Linked DNA regions of Nothobranchius furzeri. The protein of the gene in region 1 purifies or fractionates together with the protein of each later gene. This does not show direct contact. Links are inferred from orthologs where the notes say so. Each region holds a gene or a part of one and is shown on either strand. Other genes may lie near its edges.

What was found.
Region 2: the proteins of cfap20 (region 1) and clasrp purify together in Homo sapiens (affinity purification with mass spectrometry; 3 studies listed by BioGRID and IntAct, counting the BioPlex papers as one, with this or other methods). This does not show direct contact. The link is inferred for Nothobranchius furzeri from reciprocal best matches to the Homo sapiens genes CFAP20 and CLASRP.

What each region holds. Positions count from the first base shown.
Region 1 is NC_091759.1:5,022,923-5,027,323, reverse strand, and holds the start of cfap20 (cilia- and flagella-associated protein 20), read left to right. Parts: upstream 1-1,538; 5' UTR 1,539-1,619; coding exon 1,620-1,703; intron 1,704-1,879; coding exon 1,880-1,959; intron 1,960-4,401. UniProt on the Homo sapiens protein: Cilium- and flagellum-specific protein that plays a role in axonemal structure organization and motility. Microtubule inner protein (MIP) part of the dynein-decorated doublet microtubules (DMTs) in cilia axoneme, which is required for motile cilia beating.
Region 2 is NC_091753.1:42,038,502-42,042,845, forward strand, and holds the start of clasrp (CLK4-associating serine/arginine rich protein), read right to left. Parts: upstream 2,902-4,344; 5' UTR 2,750-2,901; intron 1-2,749. UniProt on the Homo sapiens protein: Probably functions as an alternative splicing regulator. May regulate the mRNA splicing of genes such as CLK1. May act by regulating members of the CLK kinase family.

The DNA.
Region 1 (4,401 bases):
CATATAAACAACTACCATGTAAATACAGACTTGACCCTTTTTTTAGAGAAGCTTGTTTTAATACAACTTAATGATTTTATCAACCGCCAACATGTCCTAGAGAAATTTTAGTCTGGTTTTAGGGTGAACCACAGCACTGAGACGGCCCTTCTGAAGATTAGAACAATTTATGATGCCCAGAGGGCAACAGTGTTGGTTCTGCAGGATCTAAGCGCGCCGTTGATACAGTAGACCACACTATTCTTTTAACCCGTTTAAAACAGATCGGCCTCTCTGGTGTTGTTCACAGTTGGTTCACTTCCTACCTCACAGACAGGACTTTTATGGTGAGTTTGGATAGCTGTTCCTCTGGGGTCCACAGCATCACATGTGGTGTGCCTCAGGGTTCAATTCTAGGCCCCACAATGCGGGTCGGAACAACCAAAACAAACATGGCTTCAATAGAAGAGATCAGTTTGCTCATTTTAATTCATTTTGAGATGAAAAAAGACAACAGCTGTATTGTAGACTGTGTGAAAGACCTCTGAACCAGTGACTGGAGAGGGTGTCTCGCTCATTTTGTCAACTCGGGCTACTGGTTGCTCCAATATTGCAGCGTGCACACACATCACATTAATTTTGGAGGATGCGCACAAACGACTGTTCAAATCAATGCAAGTTACGCGATGCAAACAAAACATGCATACGCATTGTTAAAAAGCACGCATTTCCCAGGCTTAAGAGGACACAGCATTTCTTTTGTTTTACTCTAATATCAGGTAAAGAAGGCTAGCAGCTAACGTTGAGCTAAAAGTGCTAATACTGAATTAGATAAAATTGTCAACTCAAGCAAAATCTCAAGCTACTTTTTCAATTACCACATGTATTTATGTACATGTCAACTTACTGTGTATGGCTCGTCTTCGTTTGTCATCCAGAATCTTCTGGCGCTGATCTGTGGCCGGTGCTGATCCTTTGTTCAATATTACTTAATTTTTACTAAGAATTATGTTGTACAAACATGATACATATGTATATTGTAGAACGTGAAAATTAATTTGTTACAACAATATAGTAATCATGTTAAAAATTTATATTTCTATCATTTAATTTTTTTAGCCTGACAACTTTGTGAAGCTGTAGAAAGCCACTGATGTCATAGTTTTATGTAGTTTAAAACAGAAATCTTTGAGTCCCGTGTCACTTAAAAGCATTGTATGTGGGTTTAAGTTGTTAGGAAATTATTATTATATTATTAATATTAATATTATTATTATTCGTGATTTTGTTGCTAAAATTTTCTACTTCAAACCAACAAAACAAACTAAAATAAATTAAGTTGTTTGACCGGAACGCTGCACCTGTCCATTTTTACCGCCAGGAGGCACCATTTGTTTATGAAAACTCTGGTTTCCAAGCGACATCAAAACATTAAAAAGCTGACTGTTGCTGGCTTTCTCTTTAGCTCGATAGAGGGAATTTCATTTTCTTGGATAGTCAATCTGATATTAATTGAGTTTTAAAACAAGCAGTTGTGTTTTAATTTTAGGCAGCGGAACTGTTTATTTAGTTTCAATCGGAATCAGAAAATCAGGGAACACCGGAAACACACTTTTGAACGGAGAGTTCGCGAGCTCGACATGTTCAAGAACACATTTCAAAGTGGATTTCTGTCCATCCTTTATAGTATCGGCAGCAAACCGCTTCAAATATGGGACAAGAAGGTAAAAATCGATGTAGAGTCACAAATGTGACATCAGGAGTAGCTAGTTAGCCGCTCGTGTTTAAGCTAACAGCCGTTGTGTGTGCATTTTTAGCGCTCGGCTCAGCTGTTACGCTCAGTTTTCCCCCAAATTCAGTTTGAAATATTTGGTTCTGTGATGATTTTTTACATCCACAGGTCAGGAATGGCCACATAAAGAGGGTGACTGATAACGACATACACTCCTATGTGTTGGAAATCGAAGGAGCAAACGTGAGGTGTGTGATCCCGGATTGGCTCTGTTCACCTCAGATGTTTGTTGTCCTCAGAGAGGACATCAGTAGGTTAAATGTACACTTGATTAATTTATTTAGTGCAGCTGTTTATATTTAGCTTTGGCGTGTATTCAAAGTGCCAACTTTGACGAAGTCTGGGATGTTAGTTGGGATTTAAAGAACACAGGTTATTTTCCCCCAGTTATTGATCCATCTTAGCGTTTTTATTCATTTATTTTTGGTAGGAAGTTCATCAGGGGTCAAATCTGAGCCTATCAAATCAGTTCCCTCCATTTATTAAAAGGATACTTTGCAACTTGTTCATATTTTAATTATTTTCTTGATCCAGTATGTGCTAAAATGACCCTTTACAGGGTTAATAAAAAGTCACTCAGACCCCACCGACTCCTGTGGCCAGAATGTCACAAATGCAACTTTAGACCAGCTGGCCGCCATTTGTGACTTGAGGGACCACTAAAGCGTGTTTATTTTATAGGCCTATCGATATGGTTTTTTAAACGCCGATACCGATTTCTAAAGAATTTTGTTGCAGATGGCCGATTATTAAGGCAGATATTAATTATATATATATATATATATATATATATACACACACACAGGTGCTGGCCAGTAAATTAGAATATCATCAAAAGGTTGAAAATATTTCAGTAATTCCATTCAAAACGTGAAACTTGTACATTATATTCATGCAATGCACACAGACCAATGTATTTCCGATGTTTATTACGTTTAATTTTGATATTTATAGGTGACAACCAATGAAAACATCAAATCTGGTATCTCAGAAAATTAGAATATTCTAAAGGCCAATGAAAAAATGTTTGTTTCTCTAATGTTGGCCAACTGAAAAGAATGAACATGAAAAGAATGTGCATGTATAGCACTCAATACTTAGTCGGGGCTCCTTTTGCCTCAATAACTGCAGTAATGCGGCGTGGCATGGACTCGATCAGTCTGTGGCACTGCTCAGGTGTTATGAGAGCCCAGGTTGCTCTGATAGTAGTCTTCAGCTCCTCTGCATTGTTGGGTCTAGCGTATTGCATCCTCCGCTTCACAATACCCCATAGATTTTCTATGGGGTTAAGGTCAGGCGAGTTTGCGGGCCAATCAAGGACAGGGATACCATGGTCCTTGAACCAGGTGCTGGTGGTTTTGGCACTGTGTGCAGGTGCCAAGTCCTGTTGAAAGGTGAAGTCTGCATCCCCATAAAGTTGGTCAGCAGCAGGAAGCATGAAGTGCTCTAAAACTTCCTGGTAGACGGCTGCATTGACCCTGGACCTCAGGAAACAGAGTGGGCCAACACCGGCGGATGACATGGCACCCCACACCATCACTGACGGTGGAAACTTTACACTGGACCTCATGCAACGTGGATTCTGTGCTTCTCCGCTCTTCCTCCAGACTCTGGGTCCTTGATTTCCAAAGGAAATGCAGAACTTGCTTTCATCAGAAAACATAACTTTGGACCACTCAGCATCAGTCCAGTCCTTTTTGTCCTTGGCCCAGGCGAGACGCTTCTTGCGCTGTTTCTTGTTCAAGAGTGGCTTGACACACGGAATGCGACACCTGAATCCCATGTCTGTCATGAGTCTCCTCGTGGTGGTTCTTGAAGCGCTGACTCCAGCTGCAGTCCACTCTTTGTGGATCTCCCCCACATTTTTGAATGGGTTTGTCGTCACAATTCTCTGCAGGGTGCGGTTATCCCTAGAGCTTGTACACTTTTTTCTACCACATTTTTTCCGTCCCTTCGCCTGTCTGTTAATGTGCTTGGACACAGAGCTCTGCGAACAGCCAGCTTCTTTAGCAATCACCTTTTGTGTCTTGCCCTCCTTGTGCAAGGTGTCAATGATTGTCTTTTGGACAGCTGTTAAGTCAGAAGTCTTCCCCATGATTGTGGTGCCTTCAAAACAAGACTGAGGGACCTTTTAAAGGCCTTTGCAGGTGTTTTGAGTAAATCAGCTGATTAGAGTGGCAGCAGGTGTCTTCTATATTCAGCCTTTTCAGAATATTCTAATTTTTTGAGATACCAAATTTGGAGTTTTCATTAGTTGTCACTTATGAATATCAAATTTAAATGTAATGAACATTGGAAATACATTGGTCTGTGTGCATTGCATGAATATAATGTACAAGTTTCACGTTTTGAATGGAATTACTGAAATATTTTCAACCTTTTGATGATATTCTAATTTACTGGCCAGCACCTGTATATATATATATATATATATATATATATATATATATATATATATATGTGTGTGTGTATATATATGTGTGTGTGTGTATGTTTTAGCAGCACATCGATTGTGAAAGACAACTGAACACTCACTGTGTGCAATATAAATGAATTAAGTCAATAAATCTAATGTTTATTGAACTTCAAATATAAAACAAACTCAAATCATTTAAACAATTGGTGCGTTC
Region 2 (4,344 bases), on another chromosome or scaffold:
CTGCGGCACGCCCCCCCCCCCCCCCCCCCCCCCCCCGGAAAAAAAAATTATTGGACATTTTATATTTAAACGCATCAGTCTGGTGCATTTTTGGGGGAAAAGTAGAGTTACAGGCTGTTAGGTATGTATGATAAAGTGTCTATACATGTTCATTATAATGATATATTTGAGTTAACAATGTTTTCCTGTTCTTTCTAAATCCATTATGAACACAGACTACAGTGAAATCCGCTGATGCATCATGCTGCTCAGTACCAGAACTGCACACCAGAAGAACCAATCAGCTGGCAAAGCTCCATGTTGAACGTGTGAGTTGCAGGGCTTTAGGCCCAGGGCAGAGTTTTATACCTCAGACCAGCTTTAGATCATGACCTGTTATTAATAATATGTTCTTTACACCAGTCTGAATATTCTGTAATGTTCACAGACATCCAAACCTTAGAAATGAAATAGTTATCTGTTATACTTATTTACATTTGATAGTAATATGATTAATAATATTTAATCTTATCTTCTATCATTTGTGGGTTTAGTGCATTCACTTAATATTAATTATAAAATTATAAAAACAGGTCACTACAGTCTGGGCATAGAAAGTGTTTCTAGGAACTAACGCTTGTTCAGCAGCTCGCCTGTTCCACTGACAAGAGAAATCCTCTCATCAGCAGGTGATCAGCAGAGTGTCATGACTGAACACAGGCCCGAAAAAACAAAGACGACTAAAAACACAGACCACAGATCGGCCCACCGGGAATTTGGGTCCTGGTTCTGCTCATCATGTTGGCTCTGTTAGAATCCCAGCGCCTGGTGCGAGTGCAGTTTGTGTTTGTGCGCACCGAGGGAGCGAGCAATGAGCGTGCGCGTTTTTGCAGCTTAGGCAGCGCAGAACGGTGGAGAAACGCGTTTCAACAACACCGGTGTGCGTTTCAATTAGCAAGAGGAGAGCGCTAGAGAGAGAGAGAGAGAGCGACACTACAAAACCCAAGTGAGCACGAGAAGACTTTGACAGAACTTTTTTCTGATTATTCCAACTGACGGATTTCCGTCGCCACGACGGAGAACTTTGATCCCTGGTTTATAATAATAATAACATATTATATTACAATACAATATCTTTAAATATCAAATGCCAAATAATAATAATAATAATACATCAAACTTATATAGCGCTTGTTTAGGACACTCAAAGATGCTTGCATGCACTCTCACATTCACACACTGCCAATGATGGTAAGCTACTTTGTAGCCACAGCCACCCTGGGGAGGTCTGACAGAGGCGAGGCTTCCATTTGGCGCCGTCTGCCCCTCCGACCACCACCAACACAGGCAAGTTGGGTGAAGTGTCTTGCCCAAGGACACAACAGCAGAATACCCCTGCAAGAGCTGACCCTCCGATCATGAGGCAACCCGCTCTACCTCCTGAGCTACTGCTGCCCTGAAATGAATACTTGTCATTTATTGACTGAACTTAACTGAAAAACTCAGACTAGATGCCTCCAAGTGTGTCAACTGTTATTGCAAGATTTTGTTGCTCTGTCAGAGTGAAGGCGGTAAAAACTGCTGCCACCTAGCAGTTGGGGTTTGACTAGCACCACACAAATGAGCTATAGTATAAGTTTCATTGAAAATTCTCAATAAAAATTTGATACACTACTTTTAAATATTGATTCAGTATCATTACACAAAATTTCAATGTATTGATAGTTCCTTACATTCCTTCTTATATTAATGTAATATCAATAAATATTGGTTATCGGGTATAACAGTGATAATATCGGATATCGATATCACCCCACATTTTCAAATCAGTGCATCCCTAGTTTTAATGCAGATAATGATCAAATTATAAACTGCTGAGAAAAATAACATTTTTAGTATTTCTAATAAACATTTTAGAACGCACTGACAGAAAACAAACATTTATTGGATATAAAAATGCTGTTTCTTGTAGGTTTGTAATAAAAAAAAATTACATTTCTGCTTTCTAGAATAACTTTTTCTCTTCCAGGATTCTTCATATTCTAGAGCCAATTTGAGTTTGCAGGTCAGATCTGAGACTAGGACACAAAACGGTATTTAAGAACAAAAACATGAAGAACTAATAAACAAATGTGTTACTTGTGTTATCTACAATGTACTTGGATCTTTCCACGTGTTTAAACGATTTAAGAACGAGGCTCAATTATCAAACACTGTTCAAAAATAATAAATCTATTAAATATGCAGAACTAGTCACTAGTACCAGCAGCTGACAGCTCTGATTTATCTTTGCAGACGGTTGTTTTAAGCTGTAGCTGTTTTTCTAAACGAAGTTTGTTTCCAAAAAATGTCCTGTTAATTATAACCTTAATCCCACAGCTGCATACATAGTTAATAACATTTGAATAAGTGAAATTATGTAAGTCGTTTAGCAAATGCAAATGGCATTCAGGAGCTAGCATGATAGCTAATTACCCAATATCTACGTTGTCAAGCTACTTCTAGTTAATCATTCAAATGTCTGATTTGTGGAATAACTGTACAACTATCGGCCTTATATAATGTTAAATATGGTAGTTTATAAAGTGTGCGTGGCATTTATTAACCAACACATGGCTCCAGGCTCATTGCGCATACAGGCCCGTTAGCATCAACGCTAGCTCTGCTAATCCACTCTGCACAAACGCCAGGACCACAGTGACTCACGGCCTGGCCACGCGAACGAAATATCACAGACAACTGTAAAAAGCAAATGCATTTCTATTCGTACCTGTTTTATTGTCCACCAACACAAATAAACGGGGTTTCGTCAGCAAAGAGCTAACGTTGCAGCGTAGCGAACTCACGCCTCCTTGTCGCTTTCCCTCTCTCTCTCTTTTCCCCCGTGTGCAGATACGCAGTACCAGCAACGACCACCGGGGGCGCTGTAGATAAACACAAAACTATGAATCTGCAAAGTGTTTAACTTAAATATACATATAAAATAAAAGATGCGTTAGATAAATAATGCCTTATGTGGAGATCAGTGCACCATATTAAACTGAGAAAGCTAACTAATTGTATGAGTATAAATGCTAGTACTACACAAGCACTGATAAATAACTTCCAGTTTACTAGTAATACGGTAATAATTCAAATGACATTAGTTGTTAACAAGTTTACTCCAGACTTGAAAATAATCGCTAAATTATTCAGACCCATAAAAAAAACAATAAACTTATAATGGGGCTATATATGGGCTATTTTTATGTGTTTTCTGTCTCATGATCATGATTAAAGTTATTATTCAGATCATTTTTAGGCTTATTTTCGCTTTAAAGGTTTTGGTTATAAAAATGAACACAGTCAACATTCAAACCATCGGAATTTGAATGATGTAACACTTCAAACCCTCATATCATCACAATATTCTGTGCAATATGAATAGAATCTATGTCCACATACCTGCAACATGATATTTTGTTCACATGTTTTGATATATTACTTTTAATGTATGTACTCACTTGTTTTTAAGATGTATGAACAGAGCTGTTGATGATCTTTGTACAATAACGTTTTGTAACAAAGATCAAAGCTTCACCGAGAGTGCCATATGTTGTCGTGGCCACTAGATGTCTCTGTAAGACAGCTGATGAATCTGCCATCAGACCAAAAACAGGGTGTGGAGAGAGTAAAACAGCAAATGGAGCAGTTTTAAGCTTCTGTCTGTTTTAAATATTGACACATACAAATATAACTTATAAGCTTCATTACGTGAACATAGGAAGCTCTAAATACATCACTTACAACAGCTGGAATAAAAAAGGTTAAAATGATACTAAAAGGATTTTGGACTCAGAGGCACCTCTTGACCTAATGCAAACCTTCTAATCTACAGGCTGGGTTCTGACTTCCTGTGGTACACAGCAGGTAAGAAGAGCATTTAGCACTCACCATATCTGTACATACATGTGTGCTTAAACTCTGTTTCCTACATTTCCTCCTGTCCAGCACGGTGACAGGAAGCCTGTGTTAGTTTCTAGTCTGCCTCTGTTTTCTGGGGACAAAGGTCATATTTGCCACATTCATTTGAAAATTAAACGTCTCTGCTGTTGCCGACTCTCACTTTTTGTTTTCACACACATTCTCTTATAATCCAAGCAGCACTTGTGCAGAGCTGACTGGAAAATTTACAATAAGCACAATATTTAAAATGTACGATAAGCTTAAGTTAATCAGAAGTACTGGGATGTCTCAGAGACAAATAAATAAATAAAAATACATGTATATCCCATGATATCCTCATGTCACTGTTTTCACTTGTTTGATCCTTACTTGACAGCACTTATTCTTTTTCAGGGCAGAGGTTATCCAGCTTACTGAGAC